2 linked regions of the Nothobranchius furzeri genome follow. The protein of the gene in region 1 interacts with the protein of each later gene in a biochemical or structural test. Links are inferred from orthologs where the notes say so. Each region holds a gene or a part of one and is shown in the gene's direction. Other genes may lie near its edges. The genes, in order: parp2 and hpf1.

Evidence for each region.
Region 2: the proteins of parp2 (region 1) and hpf1 form a complex in vitro, tested with the Homo sapiens proteins (2 studies listed by BioGRID). The link is inferred for Nothobranchius furzeri from reciprocal best matches to the Homo sapiens genes PARP2 and HPF1.

What each region holds. Positions count from the first base shown.
Region 1 is NC_091751.1:41,155,015-41,159,382, forward strand, and holds the start of parp2 (poly [ADP-ribose] polymerase 2), read left to right. Parts: upstream 1-1,294; 5' UTR 1,295-1,429; coding exon 1,430-1,502; intron 1,503-2,063; coding exon 2,064-2,273; intron 2,274-2,367; coding exon 2,368-2,523; intron 2,524-2,638; coding exon 2,639-2,709; intron 2,710-2,900; coding exon 2,901-2,951; intron 2,952-3,069; coding exon 3,070-3,166; intron 3,167-4,368. Other genes in the region: mettl17 (ribosome assembly protein METTL17, mitochondrial), read right to left, coding at 21-170, 278-419, 858-926. UniProt on the Homo sapiens protein: Poly-ADP-ribosyltransferase that mediates poly-ADP-ribosylation of proteins and plays a key role in DNA repair.
Region 2 is NC_091747.1:78,435,298-78,439,779, forward strand, and holds the start of hpf1 (histone PARylation factor 1), read left to right. Parts: upstream 1-1,652; 5' UTR 1,653-1,655; coding exon 1,656-1,805; intron 1,806-2,414; coding exon 2,415-2,598; intron 2,599-3,461; coding exon 3,462-3,648; intron 3,649-3,753; coding exon 3,754-3,852; intron 3,853-4,042; coding exon 4,043-4,196; intron 4,197-4,482. Other genes in the region: ppp2r2ca (protein phosphatase 2, regulatory subunit B, gamma a), read right to left, coding at 231-294. UniProt on the Homo sapiens protein: Cofactor for serine ADP-ribosylation that confers serine specificity on PARP1 and PARP2 and plays a key role in DNA damage response.

The sequences.
Region 1 (4,368 bases):
TTGATCCCACCCTCGCTCACCTCCCATCTTCTGCATGGCTTTCTCCCAGAGTTCTTTCTCCAGACCCAATGCTTTCTGCCTCAGAGTCACGTCCTCAACCATCCGCTTTCGACTCCACAAGTAGTTTATGAGTTTGTGACAGCGATCAGTAAGCTGGGTCACCTGAGCTTCTACACAAAGAAAAAACAAACATGTGGGAAAATTGTCAGTTTTATTTATTATTATTATTATTATTATTATTATTATGGCAGCTAGAGTTGATGACAGCTGATCTCACTTTGAATGACTGACTGTGCAGCAACTTGGAGCTCCTGGGGTAGCCGAAGTGTATTCAGGCTGGTCATACCAGGATGTTTCCTGTGGGGTTCTCCTTTAAGGAAATCTGCTTTGGGCTGTGGGTTAGCAGCAGCACTCACAGTCTGGAATAAATTATTATTACAAAGTGTCAGAATAGGAAAATGAAAAGCAGAGTGGCTGCATTATATGACTTTGTTAGAGTACATAATCGACATATAAAAATATGTGTATGAGGTACATGTTTGTTTGCATATAAATAATTCCAAAAATATACAAAAAATTTATGTAAGGTGTGAAGAAAGCACAGTCTTAGCAAAATATTAAGCAGTACTAGAGAAAAGAAAAATACAGGAAAACAAGGAAATAAGGACATTAGGATAAAAATACTAGTCACTGCAAAACTGTGGAAAGAAATATGAAAACAAATAATTTTATGTAATATTCAAACCGGGCTACTTTTCTACAAACTGACATGTCATTTACAGACCATAAATGTACACAAAACATAAATGACCTCCAGTGAAAATGATGCACTCAAAGACACCTGGTGGAGTACTTACCCTGAACAAAATCTTCACCACAGCCACTCTCTGACTGAGACCACAGGCTTTATAGCTACTTGATGCCATGTTCTCGGTGTCTAAACGGCACTGAAATATTGGTAAACATTTACTTTCATCCACGCTATTGTAAAGCACACCGACCGACTGATTTGCATCAACAAAATAATTCCGGCCACCACTGAAAGTGGAACCATCGAGCCTTAAAGATTTGTTCCTACACGAGGGAAACAAGAAGAGTTCTTTCTCTGATCTTGTTTACAGATACTGGCTAACATTCGGAAACAAATAGCACATAAAAGAAGGATTAGATTAAAAATGTTTGTTTTACCACATATACATCATTAGAAAAATCATTATTTGGTTGTAAACAGATGTATATTGCTGCGTTGCTAACTTCTGTATTCATCGCTAGTTAGTTACGAAGTGCGGCATCTTTTTAATAAACCATCTTCGGTAGGCTTTGCTCTCTACAGGCCTATCCGAAGAAAAGAAAGTTCCCGCCGTGTTTTCTACTGCTTCTCGATTTCTGCTTTTCCTGCTGTTAAATAAACTTGTTTTGATACACAAACATGAGGCGAACCAGAAGTTCGAGAAATAAAAGCCAGCGCGCACAAGAAAACCACGAAGTCCCGTCAAAAACAGGTTGGTGTTTGCTTTTAGCACATCATGGAAGGAAGCAGTGTAGCCATTAAACATGCCCGGACAGAGAATTAGGTTTTATTTTCATCTTCACAATTCTTTGGTAACTATGTCCTGCACTACCTATTACTTATATTTGACAACATTTGTGTTTTAACTAATTGAATCAAAACTTGGCGCGAAAACTGGTGAAAAGCACGAATATTAAGCAGTTCTGGAGGAAATCACTAGAATAAAGTGACTCACTGCTACATTTAATTAATTTAGTAATAACTAAAGCCTCGTTTGAGTGTAGAAAAACAATATAATGGCTCTGCAAAGTCCAGTTGATTAACACATCTTTGTTTAAAAAGTAGTAAAAAGAAACTACATAATTACATTTAATGAATGAAATCAACTCAGGGCAGAAATTTGATGTTTAGAAATTGATTCATGTTTTATAAAGTCATATCAGTATTTTATAGTTCATAAAAGGTCTGTTGTGGAATATTATTTTCAGTTTTTCCTATAATGCAGCACTTAAACAACTGTTTTACTGTTTTCTGGCTCTGTTTGTGATCACAGTGTGGCAGTGGAAAGGAGATGAAGGACAGTGGGAATCGTACCCGCCTACAGCCTGTGCCTTGCTTGATTCAGCCATTTCTTCAGGGAGGACATCCGTCACTCTGACTCTTGGCTCGGGGGCAGCATATGAAGTGGATTTGAAGAAGATGGTCCAGATTAACCCTGTGACGAAATACAAGAGAAAAATCCGCTCCAAGACTGTAAAAACAGGTGTTTTTTATTTATAGAAATCAATTCAGACTGAAGATGGCAAGACACATTATTTGTTGATCGTACATTTGTTTTTTGTTGTTTGTTTTATAAGAGAGTTTACAGGAAGCTGATGATGAGGCTGCTCATAACACAGAATTCATTCAGGTAAAAGAGGAAGAGGAGGAGAATGAGGAGCAGCCTACCGCTAAGAGGAGAAGAGGTCAAAGCAAGAGTGCAGCAAAAACCGAAGAGATGCCAAAAGAGGAAGGTAAGATTAATATAGTTTTGTTAGCATCAAAGTAAGTAAATAAACAAAAATGATAAAAAGAAAAGGTAATCTTGGCATCACTTTTCCATGTTACCTTTATGTTTATGCTGATCAGAGGTGGTGAGGACAGTGGTGATGAAGGGCAAAGCTCCAGTGGACCCTGAATGCAAAGCTAAACTTGGAAAGGTACATTTACAGAAATGAAACCTGCGATTGTGGTTTGACACCCATTTGAAACTAAAACCCCAGACACGGTTTCGTTTGTGAGCTCTTGTTTGAGCAGGTTAATCGTTTTATCATGCAAAAGCAAAATCTTTCATTAGAAATGAAAACATTTTATTTATGAGTCCATTCAGTCAAACATGCTTCTCTTTCAGGCTCATGTTTACAGTGAAGGAGCTGATGTTTATGACGTGATGCTAAACCAGGTAAAATATGTAACAGCATTTATTCATCATACATCATTCTAGAGAATACATAGGCATTGATTGTAGTTTTTATAAATATTTGTCATTTGAAGCAGTGATAAAAATCTTTCTTTTGCAGACGAATCTGCAGTTTAACAACAATAAATATTATCTGATCCAGCTTCTGGAGGACGACAGCTCCAAAGGTTACAGCGTGTGGATGCGATGGGGCAGAGGTGAGGTTGATGTCTGCAGATTTCCGTTAACACCATCGACATAAATATACTGGACAATTCATTTCCATAGGCTCCAATATCACGTTTTTGAGGCCAAATGGGAGGTGGCCACCACCGCCATTTTAACTGTCACAGGTTCCGTCAAGCCCAGACAATTCCATAAAAGGGAAGAGAGGTGGAGCTGAGGGTGGGGCTGTAAGGCTGGGATCAACTGACGACACCCGGTCGAATTAGCCACAAGCTAACCTGAAGCTAACCCAAAGCTAATGCGGAGGTGGGAGCTAAGCTAACGGAGGTAGCAACCTAGCTACAACCGGAGTTAACTGTGCACAACACCAGAGCTTCTGAGTCAGAGATACGCCGGGCTGACCGCTGGGTAAAACTGGGTGGAACACAGAGGTCTTGGAGAGCTCCACAAGCCGGCAGCCGCACAGCAGACAAGTGCCGCTGCGATCTGAGATGCGCAGAGCTGCCACTGGGGAGAATAGGGTGGAAAGGTTTCCATCCCAGAGCTCCACAAGCCGGCAGCCCGTGCAGCAGACAGAAGCCGCGATCAGACAGAGATGCGTTGAGCTGCGGGGAGGGGAGAACGAGTGGAAAACATCGGTCTCCCGAGAGCTCCACAAGCCGATAGTCGGAACCCAGCTCCACCAACATGTTATATTTCAACCCATTTTCTAAAGTGCAGCATTATGTTAAATGCACTGGGTTTTACCCCTATTGCATTTAAATTTCATGGTTAAACAGTACATGTTAAAATCTAAGCTCAGCTCGGCAGTGACCTAAAATACATAAATACAATTTTACTTACCGAAATAAATGAAGTGGAGACTCCTTGGACGCTCTATTAGTGCAGTTAATACCACAGCAAGTCATTTTGTCCAACAGTTGCACAAATAATATCCAAAACAGAATACACAAACACAGAGACTCAAAATCCTGGAGCAGTTTCCAAGCCAGACCTAGGCTCTACTGAGGCCTTTCCCCGGAGCTAGCTCTGTGGTCACGTGGGTCTGATGCTCATTAATTATACAGAATTTTAGGCTTTTAATACACTTAAACAGAAGAGTGAGAAAAAATTCACCCCCCTCAGAGTTGTCATGAGTTTAAACTAGATAATTTAAACCAAAAACATGTTTTGGTACCAAGCTGTAAACATGTTTATTTCTGCTGTGAAATTGGTATTTTTAACATGGGAGTCA
Region 2 (4,482 bases), on another chromosome or scaffold:
AGAAAGCATAAATAAGATCCATAAAAAACAGTGAACCTGTGATAAAATATCAATAAAATTTAGAATCACTAAAAACATTATCTTATTTCTAAAGCTCCTAACCACATTTCTATCTTCAGCCTGAGAATTTAAAGATGCAAAATAAGATCAGAGTTTGTCAGAATAAAAAATAAAACCAAGTTTCCTTTTTCAGTCACTCTAATCCGACCCTAGAGGTGAACCCAACTCACCTTCAGTGACGTAGTCTCGCAGGAAGGTGTGGTTGATTTTGGGGTTTTCAGCGTCCTCGCCCATCTGAAGCTGAAGGTAGGTGACCCGCCACCACACCCGTCCTAAGAGGAAGGGTCCAATCTTTGATATCTCGTCCCACCCAGGCTCCGCCCATGCTGCTGGGGCCTACCGTAGTGGCCTGAGGCAAGGCATCCTGGGAAAAGCGACCAGCTGGGAGGAGTAGAAGTTGTGTAAGGAAGAGGGAGGAAAGAGATAAACAGGATTGAATCGAGAAGGTGGAGGAGAGGGGTGGATGGCCTGATGTTGAAGAGGGTTTTGGAAAGGAAAACATGAAAGATGTAGTTAGTTAACTTCCTAAATGGTTGCATGTTCAGTGCTCTTGCTAACATGTGCTTGAATGAATTCATGTACTGTGGAATTAAAACAGGAAACCAAACATCACAAGCAGACACAGAAAACAGATCCATCCGAGGGGAACTGCATGCATTCAGCGAGAAGAGAAGGATGGAGCAAAGATTATATAAAAACATCAAACATTCATTCTGCTGTGCCGGAGGTTGTAAATGATCCCAGGGTGTGGTAGTCCTCCCAGCCCTCTGTCTCCCTCACACACAAACACACACACTTCTCAGATAGATAGTCCTTGACAGAGATCAGAGGAGAACGCGCTGTCTTGCTTGTGCTGCAGGAAGAAGGGGAGGGGGGGGGTTCAGGCCACAGCTCACCTACCAGTCCACCCGCTGCTGCTGATCCTGCTGCTGGTGTTCGTACACGTCCCTCTGCTGCAGTGTGCTCAAGCAGGGCCTCGACGTGTGTGAGTGTGTGTCCGCCGAAGGGAAGGGAGAACGAGCAGGAGAAAAGAGACAGCAAGGGTGGTGGTACGAGGAGGAGAGGCAAAAAGGAGGAGGAAAAGAGAGAGAGAGGGACAGTGAGGAGGAGGATGCAGGAGCGCTGGATTGCTGATGCTGAGGATGTTGTTCTGTGCAGCATCCACCGTGTGTCATGGCAGCCTCCTCTAGGAGAAGCCTATCACAGCACAGCTGTCACTGGTGGCTCCACCCACTGCAGGTGGTGAAGGGTGGGGGGGCGACCAGCAGAGGGAGACATTTAATGAGAATGGAGCGTGGTGGGGCCAGCCACGCTTTAAAATGAGACTGCATTCATTTTTTTATTGTCTAAATTAAACAGCTGAGTCAACTTAAAACTTAATTCATAGAAATGTGTATTTTCCCTTTCATTGGATGATTTTAATTATTAAAACTAACTGTTATTGTTTTTTATTTTTATTTTCTTATATTTATATATATATATATATATATATATATATATATATATATATATATATATATATATATTTGTGTGTGTGTGTGTGTGTGTGTGTGTGTGTGTGTGTGTGTGTGTGTGTGTCTTTAGGTGTAAAATTGATGATGTTTACACCGCCACGCCTCACGGGGGCACTGACGCACGACGTCACGGTGAACCCTCTACCACTGTCTTCAATCTGCAGAAGAAGAAGACGAGACGAGAGGAAGAAAATGACAGGGCGCGCAAAAAGAAAACCCAAAGCTATTCAGGTAATTTCTCCTCCTCCGATAAGCTTCCTGCGCTGAACGTGTCAGGTGAGAAGTCGGGCTCTCCGGGGCAAACGCAGACTTCTGTCTGGTGTCGCTGTTTTCCGGGTACATCTGTGTGAGACCATCGGGCTGAACCGCTGGAGCTGAGTGAGCGGCGGCGCTTCCAGACAACATGGCAGCAGCTGCTTCTCTGCTAAACTGTGTTTCCAGTCTAATCGTGTCCGCTTCGCATTTCTGACACGTGCGTTCGCATCTGGAGCGTTTGAGATGGGTCACCTGTCGCGTGCCCTGCAGGATAACTTGTGCATGTGTGTTTTATCCATAAAAGCTGAGCTTTAGATGGTCTCACGGCTACCTCTGTTCAGCTACTATAATAATGTTCAACCTGCATAAAACACCTTAGGTGTTGGGGACGCAGGACGCCCACTGGTGCACCTGTGTAATAAAACAAACCGTGACTATGGAGGCCATAGGAAACAGGAGGGTGTTAAACTTTAATATAATTAATAATCAGAGAGCAGCAACAGGCTGAGACAGGAGTGACAATGGTGTAACCTGGGTCCACAAACTAAAACTTGTAATTTTTCTTTTCTTCCTCTGATTCATTAGGGGTCGGATTCAGCCAATGGAGAGGTGAAGAGGGTCCGGACTGATGAGTCCACACCTGTGCTGCTGTCAGAAAGGAATCCAGAGCAGCGGGATGAGTTGACCCGGCTGTACGGTTTACAAATGCCAGAAGATCTGTTCCACTTCTGGGATTTCTGCAAGGAGCTTTGTCCCGACAACCCCTGTGGTACGTCCTGACTGCTCTCACCACTGATGGGACTAAAGCTGCAACTGGGATTTAGGCCCTGTCCACTCGTAGCCGGGGATCTGCCAAAACGTAGATATTTTTCTATGTTTTGGCCTGTCATCCACACGAAAACTGAGTTTTTTCACACGAAAACGGATCTTTTTAAAAACTCCGGCCAAAGTGAAGATCTGCGTTTTCTCCGTTTTGGGTGTCTGCGTGTGGACAGACAAAACCGGAGTTTTAAGGTCCGCAACGTCACTTTCCACGACAAAAAAATGCTGACATCACGTGTGCGACCTGTGTTTACACTAGCCGACAGCATGGATGCCCTCAGAGCCGCGCTCACTTTATCAATTGTCCAAGCGCTTTTTGCTTGTTTGTTTTTGCAAGCGGAATTACTGCTCCTTGCGGAAGAACACAGACGAAGGACGAGGTTAAGAACGGGGGAAGTACTGCCGCCTACAGGTCTGGCATGTCCTTAACGTATTTATCCGGGTACGTGTGGACAGAGTTTTCTTTAAAACGCGGTGGTGTGGATGCAAGTTTTTGGAGGGGCGGATATTCATTTTTAAAAAACCGGCTACGTGTGGACTAGGCCTTAAACACTCCTCTTCAGCAGTCCTTAGTTGGTGCAAGAGGCTAAATGTAATGAAAGCACGGTGAACTGTTTCTAGTGGGGCATTTGGAGGCTGTCTTAGAGGGTTATCCTGCAGAAAATGTGTGTTTTAATGTTGTTTGACTTTTAGGTGACGTCATTTTCCACGGAGTCCATCATATTGTTGTTGAGTTATTTATTTTATGCTGATGTAAGGGTTTCTAACCTTTCCAGTATGTGCGTGCTTCTGTTGTGTAAACCTGTGCAGGAGCGCTCAAAGACACGCTGGGCTTGGTGCTGGTTGGTCCATTTGATGTTCTGGCGGGAGCTCACAGAATCTCCAAGAATCTTCAGCCTAACTTCCACCTGCACTGTCGGTACTTCTACGACCCCCCCGAGTTTCAGACCATCCTGAAGGGGAGCGAGGACACCCAGCATCACATGGGCTACTACAGGTAGCGTCGCCACTTTTCAGCTTTGAGCTGAATCGATGGGAGAGCCTAAAACTGGGACAACAGATCACGAGTTACTGTTTATTTATTTATTTATTTATATTCCAGGGACACGGATGACTCCCTTCCTTCGTTTGTTGGGGAAAATGAAGCCAAGAAGGGCTACACCATAGCACAAATGGGGGATAACATATTTGCAGCTGTCTAGTGAGTCTCAACCATTAGTTGTTTTTCTCATTAAAGTTAGTCAACAATTAAAACAGGTTATAGAAGAGGATTGCGACTTTTTTACAGGTTATTTGAAATATTTCTTAGTTTTTGCACTTTCTGTCTCCGCTTTTGGTGTTCATTCCTCTCTCTAACCGACCGTTGATGTCTCTGATCTCTTCTCCGTCAGCCTGTTTCTGCAGAGGAAGAAGAAGGAGAGGAGCAGTAACGGCGCAGGAGGAGACGCTTTGGAAAGCTTGGAGGCAAAGCTGAAAGAAAGGGTTGTGACTTTAGGCTTGTCTTTAGAGGCGAAGACCAAAAGTATGAAGCAGAGGGACAAGAAGGTAAAGTTCACCCACGATAGGACAAAGCACTCACCTGCCGAGGTCGCTGCAGGACTTCTTAGATCTGTGTTTGTGTGTTGCTTACTGTCCTGTTGCCAGTGGATTTAGTTTCAGTACATTTAATTATTTCTTGGACATTGCTGGCTAGATCTTAGGGAAACTATAATATTACCATTATTAGTTAATAATTTTAGCTAGACTTTTCTTATTTTGTTTGTTTTTAAAATAAAAAGCAGAATGAAATGAGGTGTAAACTGCAGAGTTAGACTGGGGAGTCCACAGAGGT